Linked DNA regions of Macaca fascicularis. The main gene of each other region encodes a partner of the protein of the gene in region 2 in a complex. Links are inferred from orthologs where the notes say so. Each region holds a gene or a part of one and is shown on either strand. Other genes may lie near its edges.

The links. Proteins that work in one complex are often made in the same cells at the same time.
Region 1: TAF7 (region 2) and transcription initiation factor TFIID subunit 13 share a complex: the UniProt entries of both Homo sapiens proteins name them as parts of the TFIID basal transcription factor complex. The link is inferred for Macaca fascicularis from reciprocal best matches to the Homo sapiens genes TAF7 and TAF13.

The regions. Positions count from the first base shown.
Region 1 is NC_088375.1:125,372,609-125,376,578, forward strand, and holds the start of transcription initiation factor TFIID subunit 13, read left to right. Parts: upstream 1-1,170; 5' UTR 1,171-1,232; coding exon 1,233-1,259; exon of another isoform or gene 1,260-1,433; coding exon of another isoform or gene 1,434-1,434; intron 1,435-2,021; exon of another isoform or gene 2,022-2,119; coding exon 2,120-2,198; intron 2,199-3,970. UniProt on the Homo sapiens protein: The TFIID basal transcription factor complex plays a major role in the initiation of RNA polymerase II (Pol II)-dependent transcription.
Region 2 is NC_088380.1:147,784,561-147,788,684, forward strand, and holds TAF7 (transcription initiation factor TFIID subunit 7), read right to left. Parts: upstream 2,788-4,124; 5' UTR 2,057-2,787; coding exon 1,007-2,056; 3' UTR 501-1,006; downstream 1-500. UniProt on the Homo sapiens protein: The TFIID basal transcription factor complex plays a major role in the initiation of RNA polymerase II (Pol II)-dependent transcription.

The DNA of each region.
Region 1 (3,970 bases), on a different chromosome or scaffold from region 2:
CCGCGCCCAGCCGCTTTGTGTTTATTAACAAAGATAGGTTCAAGCCTCACATAACTACTTTTCACTCACCGAATGTTCAGCAGGACATTCAGAAATCGTGTGTATTGCGGGATTTTCTTTATGTAGCATCATCTGTTACACTGTAGGACACATATTTTATATCCCTAGCTCTGGCCTTCCAATGCCTGTGGTTTTCCCAACCATTGTTCCGACCAAAAGCCTTCCCCAATGGACACGGTGGCTCACACTTGTAATCCCAGCACTTTGGGAGGCCGAGGGGGGCAGATCGCTTGAGATCAAGAGTTCCAGACCAGCCTGGGTGATGTGGCGAAACCCCATATCTACTAAAAATACAAAAATTAGCCGAGCATAGGTGGTGTGTGCCTGTAATCCCAGCTACTTGGAGGCTGAGGTGGGAGGATGGCTTGAGCCCAGCAGGTCTAAGCTGCAGTGAACCCGGATTGTGCCACTTCACTCCAGCCTGGGGGACAGTGAGGCTGCGTCTCAAAAAAAAAAAAAAAAAACCAAAAATGAGGCCGGGCATGGTGGTGCACGCCTGTAATCCCAGCTACTCGGGAGGCTGAGGCAGAAGAATCGCTTGAACCCGATAGGCGGACGTTGCAGTGGGCCGGGATTTCGCCACCGCACACTCCAGCCTGGGCGACAGAGTGAGACTTGGTCTCAAAAAAAAAAAAAAAAAAAAAAAACACACACACACAAAAACAAACCTTCACAAAATTTTAAATGCTTAGTTTTGGGACACCATCTCTTGGAAATTTGTGGTGAAGCACAGTATCCCCAGTAATTAACATAGTGCTTAGAAACAGTGGAACCACAACTCTTTAAAATGATTTAAAAGCATTTATGTCAGATAAAGGACCGCTGGCTAGCCCTCCTACGATCCATAGCTTCGCAGTCCCCAAACAGGAAGGCGTGATTCAATGCGCAGTAGCAAATTTAGGGTGACAACGAGATACATCCCACGGAGCCCGTGATTTCCTTTTCTTTGTTAGTTTTCAATTCCTTCAGTGTTACAGGGAGGAGCTCCGGCCTCCTCCGCTAAAGACTGTCGCATTTCCGCCGCTAGGCCGGAAAGCACCACCGTCCTTCCGCAGGCCTCAGTCAGCTAGGCCCAGCTCCAGCCCCGCCCGTCACCGGAAGTGAGGCGACGGAAGTAGCGTAACCCGCTGAGAACCAGCCGGCGGGGCGCTGTGGGTTGGCGGGCTAGTGGGATGGCAGATGAGGAAGAAGACCCCACCGTGAGTGACCGTCTGTGTCCAGAACCTCTCTTTTCTTCACTCCTTCGGGCTCAGTAGCGGAGGCAGAGTTCAGGATCGGATCTGCTTGCCTTAGTCAATTCAGCCGACAGAATTCGGGGACTTCACTCCCTAAGGATTGATCATTTTAGAAAGTGGGGAAGGACATGAAGAAAGAGTAGGTTTTGTGACCCCTTTCCCCTTGATTTTGATCTTTATTTGCCAGACACTGAAACACTTACAGAATCATCAGACGTCAAAACTAACATCTATTAGCGCTCACTATGAACCAACAGTTCAATTGTTAACAAAACTGTACTTACTGTGAAGTAATGGGAAAAGAATGCATTGAAAGTCAGACAGCCTGGATTTCAAAATCTCCATTCTCTCTAAGCAAGTTATTTAACTTTGACAATCAGTTTTCTTGTTACAAAATAGGGTTACGGGCTTACTTAAGGAACGTTTTTAGCACCGTATATGCAAATGCTTAGTAAATATTAGTTTTGCTTAATTGAAAGTCTACAAAGGTAGACTTTGATTCAGTATCAACTGTTTAACAGTAGCAATAGGCCACCTTAGTTGTTTAAAAATAAAACCTATGGTCATTGTAACTCTTACACGTAGAAGCAGTAGGATTATTTGTTAGGAACATTGTAGAAGCCATTTTTGGATGAGTTGGAAATTGGACTCGATACCTAGGCTGCTTACGTGCTAAGGTTTTGTGTTTTTTTTTTTTTTTTTTTTTTTTTTTTCTGCTTCCTTTAGGCTTTCTGGCCTATCTGTTGAAAAGGAAAAAACATTGTTATTATTAAAATATCAAATGCAAGGCAATTATTTGACATTTCTATATATACGTTTTCTAGTTTGAGGAAGAAAATGAAGAAATTGGAGGAGGTGCAGAAGGTGGACAGGGTAAAAGAAAGAGGCTTTTTTCTAAAGAATGTAAGTAGTATTTGACAATGATTTTGTTATAGATGATGAAAACTTTTGGACATATCCTTTCCAAGTACATTTATTGCTTTGAATGTTTCCCTGTAGTGACAATATTCTCAGACTAGCCTATCAAATTCTGTTTAGCTTTTGAATCAGATAGTACCAATCCTAACCCCAGTTATATGTGTGTGTATGTGTGTCTGTGTATAAATTGCTTTTTAGGTGAGCAAATGTAGTTCGTGTTTTAATTTAGGGCAGAAGAACATACCTCCATTAGTTTTCCTCTTGCCTTTGCAGCAGTAGAAAGAGAGGCTTCTTTGACTGTAAGCCACAGATACTAATGGATCCTGCACCAGGTGTTGAGGGAGAGTAGCAAGTGAGTTGGGGCTTGGGCTTTGGACTAAGGCTATGAACAAAGTAAGAAGGTGGTGAACAGCTGGGTGTAGTGGCTCACGCCTGTAATCCGAGCACTTTGGGAGGCTGAGGCAGGTGGATCACTGGAGGTCAGGAGTTTGAGACCAGCCTGGCCAATGTGATGAAACCCCATCTCTACTAAAAATACAAAAATTAGCCAGACGTGCTCGCTTGAACTCAGGAGGGAGAAGTTGCAGTGAGCCAAGATTATGCCACTGCACTCCAGCCTGGGTAACACAGCAAGACTCTGTCTCAAAAAAAAAGAAGAAGGTGGTGAATAGTGTAAGACATTAGAGTGACATGGAGGCTAGATGCAGTGGCTCACGTCTGTAATCCCAGCACTTTGGGAGGTCAAGGCAAGCAGATCGCTTGAGCCCAGGAGGTCAAGACCAGTCTGGGCGACATAGTGAAACCCTCTCTCTACAAAAAATACAAAAATTAGTAGGGCATGGTGGCACGCCCCTGTAGTTCCAGCTACTCTGGAGGCTGAGGTGAGAGGATGGCTTGGGCCCAGGAGGTGGAGGTTGCAGTAAACCCAGATTGCGCCACTGCACTCCAGCCTTGGTGACGGAACCAGACCCTGTGTCCAAAATAAATAAATAAATAAGCAAAATAAATAATGACATGGAGATTATAATGTATTGATTCTGCATCCTACCCCCTCAGTAGATGCTTTTGACCCTTTTTGGCAACAAGAGGAAGGGAGAGCTGCTGCTACTACTGATGGTACAGGCCAAGCCCTGGAACACAGCATGAGAATGTGCTCTCCATCTCCAGTCCTGGGTCCTTTATGTAAAGTTATATCTAAGTATTGAGAGATGAGGCAACACAGATTTATGAATATGGTTTATTTAGGCGGGGTTATATGTGAGCAGTTCCCAAATGCCCTTGAAACTACAGGGTCAGTATATCTTTTTTTTTTTTTTGCAATTAACTGGGCATGGTGGCGTGTACCTATAGCCCCAGCTATTCAGGAGGCTGAGGTGGGAGGATCACTTGTGCCCAGGAGTTCAAGGTTGCAGTGAGCTGTGATCATGCCACTGTACTCTAGCCCCAGTGATAGAAGAGTGAGACCCTGTCTCGCCACCAGCCCCAGCTAATTTTTTGTATTTTTAGTAGAAACGGGTTTCCCCATGTCAGCCAGGGTGGTCTCAAACTCATGACCCAGATGATCTGCCTAACTCGGCCTCCCAAAGTGCTGGGATTACAGGCCTGAGCCACCATGACCAGCCATACCCAGCTAATTTTTGTATTTTCAGTAGAGACTAGTTACACCATGTTGGCCAGGCTGGTCTCAAACTCCTACCCTCAAGTGATCCTCCTGCCTCAGCCTCCCAAACTGCTGGGGTTACAGGCATGAGCCACCA
Region 2 (4,124 bases):
GAAATTTGGTACCGACTTACTTTATGAGCAATTTTGATGAAATGACATTGATAAATGACCTCAGTTCTCAGATTATTAATTATAAGAACTCAACTGAAGAAAAATAGAAATAAAATCTTAATCCAAACCAATGGAATGATTCATTGGACTGCACTTGATAACCACTGCTTTGTTTCCAACATTTTGTGCAGGTAGATTTAGTAAGCTTTTTAAAAAAGGCACGAAGGCCTTCATCTACAAAAATTAGGGTAGTTTAAGAAAGCTCTGTATCTAATGTTTCCCAGCTTTCAAGTAGATCAGATAGAACTGGAATCTTAATATGATGCAAACATGACAATTCCCAATTTCTTTACCCCTGCTGTGTTGCTTTTTTTCATAAACCAAACTGCCTCTACCTGCAGAACTGGATCAAATTTCTTAGTCACTAAACTCCACCACAAAACCACCTCAAAAGGGACCTGACTCCCACCAACCATGAAAGAACAAGATACACTACAAAGTGAAAAACAGATGCTTTTATTTATTGTATTGTAAACAACTTAATAAAATTTGCATCTCTACATATGGGAAACTGCTTTGAGTAACTGGGAAAACAGCTATTGCATGGGAAAACATATGCAAACTAGCATCACTGTCTCTAGACTAGGTTCTTCTTATTGATCTCATGTCATCATAAGGCAGCAACAGCAGCTTCTAGAAAATGGAGAAACAGCAAAGTCCTGCAGTGGAGCTATAATTAAGGTTGAACCATACATTCCACTAATCCTGCAACTTTCCTACTATCATTTTTCTGCCTATACAATCCTGCTTCTTATAGGATGAACACCTAGCAAAACAATGTAAATTTGCTGAAAAACAAAACTATAAACAAATGAAAGAACTTAACAGAACACACAGCATTAGAGGGACTAGGAAGTGCAAGGTGTTAATATCCAGTACAAGTAATAAAGCCAAGAATTTTCTAATGCTGATCAGTCTGAACACTGAAATTAAGAATCAGTTCTTTTTACTTCTCTAGGAGTGATTCTAGCTCTTCTTGCAAAGAGCTGAGTTGCTCCTTTTCTCGGTCTTCCTTTTGTTTGAGCTCATCCAGTACAGCCTGAAATCTGTTCTTGAGAGCCAGATTTTCCACTTTCATGATGAGATCCTCTTGTCGTTTTGCCCTGTCCTGGGTCTCTTGGAGCTTGCCTTTCATGTTGTCAATCTGCTTCTGAATTCCCATAACCAGCTGATTGGTTCCCTCATTTTCCTGGTGCTGTTCATCTGATTCATTTAGCTTGTCCTGTAGTTGTCTCTCCAGATCTTCCTCAGTGTCAATGATGTTTATATCTTCTTCATCTTGATGCTGGGTCTCATCTTCATCCTCACTGCTGCTGCTGAGGTCATTGAATATCTCCCGAAGCTCATCATGTTCTAATGAGTCATGGCCCTGCCTGTGACCAGACATTCCTGGAGAAGAGATATCCAGGCCTTGATTTTCTGCCTCCTTTGTTTCATCTTCAGCAATTATTTCCCACCGAGTACTAACAGCTTCAGCATCTGTACTCAGCAATCGTTTCACTTCTTTTTCCACATCTGGAGATTCAATATATTTCTTCTTTGCTGTCTTCCGGAACCTTCTCTTCCTGACATTCTTCAGAGGCAGAGTAATTCCGTGGTTCCAGATAAACTTTTTCTCTTTGTCCTTATCCTTTTTCTTGCTTGCTTTAGGATCAGTGCTAGCAACTGGCTCCTCCACAGGTGGATAGAGATCACCATCAACTGTGGATACAAGCATCTGACAGATATCAGCTGTCTTGTAAAAGGTTTTCTTATCAATGGTTTTCAAGCTTTCCATAACACAGGGCAGGTCTACCAATTTTGAGGCCAATGGAACACGGTCCACTCTGACGATTCCATGACGCCCATCAGGATGTAACTCAATTGTCAGTCTGTCCTTGAGGTTGACATGACCAGACTGTACTGCTCTTCTCACAGTAGAGGCATATTCTGGAGGCAGACGTAAGATAAACTGGCTCTCCAGTTCGTGAGGAGCATCATCTTTGCTTTTACTCATTTTTATTTCTTTGTGACTCACTTCTCCAATAAATGATGGTTACCGTAAAAAGTTCCAGCTACTGCAATAATTTAAAACACCAGTTCGCTATGAATTGAAATATTTTAATTACAAGAAGTTCTCTGTAGATCAGCAGCTTAGCGTCTATTTTGCCTTCGTTTTTATTTAAGCTCCAAGTCTTTTCTCTAAATATGCTGTGACCAAATACCAGTCGTTAACACAAAGGCTTATTCACAGACTTAAGTTCATTAAATCAGATGCAATGCCAAGTCCCAACCTCTAGGTGCCGCTGCCCGACAACGCGGAGACAGCTACCTAGCTAGGAAGCAGGAAAGCAAATGGCGGCTCCCGCGGAACGGTTTTCGGCCCAGAAAGGCCAGCAGAGATACTCTCAATTTACAAACTCTCCCGGAACAGACACTCAAAACATCAGGGCTCAGTGAGCTCTCTTCGCCTCGGGTACTTACAATCCAGTGACGATTATAAGTTCAGTTTCACCGGGCCGGAGCGAAGGGAAGAGGAGGCCGCAAGGAGCAAAGCGGGAGGCAGCCAAGCGTCTCCTTGTCGTTTCCTTAATTCTTCCTGCCGCTTGGCAGAGTGATCCACTATCGATTACTGATGAAAGCCCAGGATGGGCAACGCGAAATCTTGCCGAGAGGCGCAGCTCGGAGAACCAGACCCGGCACCTCGCCGGCCCTCCGTTCGACCGCTTGCCCAGAGAAAACGGAAGTGCTACGTCACGACGCGGGGCGGGAGGTGGATGTGAGTGACAGCCCCTCCGGCCGGAAGGGCGGAGCCCCGGCGCGCGCAGGCGCAATAGCGCAATTACGCTGCCCAGCGTGAAACTCGTCTTTTCGCGAGAACTTGCTTTTCTAGGATGAAAATGATAGTGTTTTCGAAGAGCTGTTGGTTTCAAACTATTTAGCGCTTGGAAGTTACAAGAAAGACACGGATTCGTCCCCCGCTAAGCCAGCACTTTTAAGGGATCGCTGTGGGGCCGGATGGCTTCTAGACTTCCGGGTGATTCCGGGAGATGGGGGACGCCTGGCAGTAAGCGTCTTTGCTTCTGGAAACATCTCGGATGCTTCCTAGGGTCTAGCCAATCTGGTGCCAATACAAGAATGTGTAGCTACTATACAATGGATTTTAAAGAACCCAAATCAGTGGAGTGAGGAGGACATGGAGCTCACTATATAATTCTAAACCTCTCTTTGTTTGTTTGTTTGTTTGTTTTGGAAATGGAGTCTAGGCTGTCACCCAGGCTTGAGTGTAGTGGCACAATATTGGCTCACTGCAATCTGCACCTCCAGGGTTCAAGCGATTCTCCTGCCTCAGCCTCTTGAGTAGCTGGGATTACAGGCACCTTCCACTACCCCAGCTAAGTTTGGTATTTTTAGTAGAGAAGGGGTTTCACCATGTTGGCCAGGCTGGTCTCCAACTCCTGACCTGAGGTGATTTGCCTGTCTTGGCCTCCCAAAGTACTGGGATTATAGGTGTGAGCCACCGTGCCTGGCCCAAAGTCTATATTTTGTTTAATATAATTCCCTGTAGGGGAATTGTGCCTCTGGGTTTCCTTCTGTTCTGTAATACTCCTGAGGAAACAAGGGTGATTCCTTTTTATATGCTTGATTTAGATGTAAATGTAAGCAGAGAAGGAAGTGTTCTTCTGCAAGCACAGGTTCATTTTGGACAGAATTGTCTGATAGACTGAGCATCTGGTTAAAGTAGACATAATTGAAGTATTGTTTCCTGCTTCTCATGTACAAGTAATTTTAAATACTTTGACTTTTTTTTTAACTCCACCTCTACTATTTTGCTGTTTTGTGCTTGTCTTTTCTTTGGAGGGTCAGGTATTCATCAACACATATTTTTAGTATTTTGACATAACTGGGTAACAGTTGGTACTTATTTCTATTTATTTCCATTTATTTTTAAAATATCTGGTAGAGCATCAAGGCCATTAACATTTAATTTCTATCCTCTAAAATATTACCAATTGCCCCTAAATTTAAGAGAATTCTCTTAAGATGTAATTAACATTTCCAAAATTCACTTTATTCCTGTATGA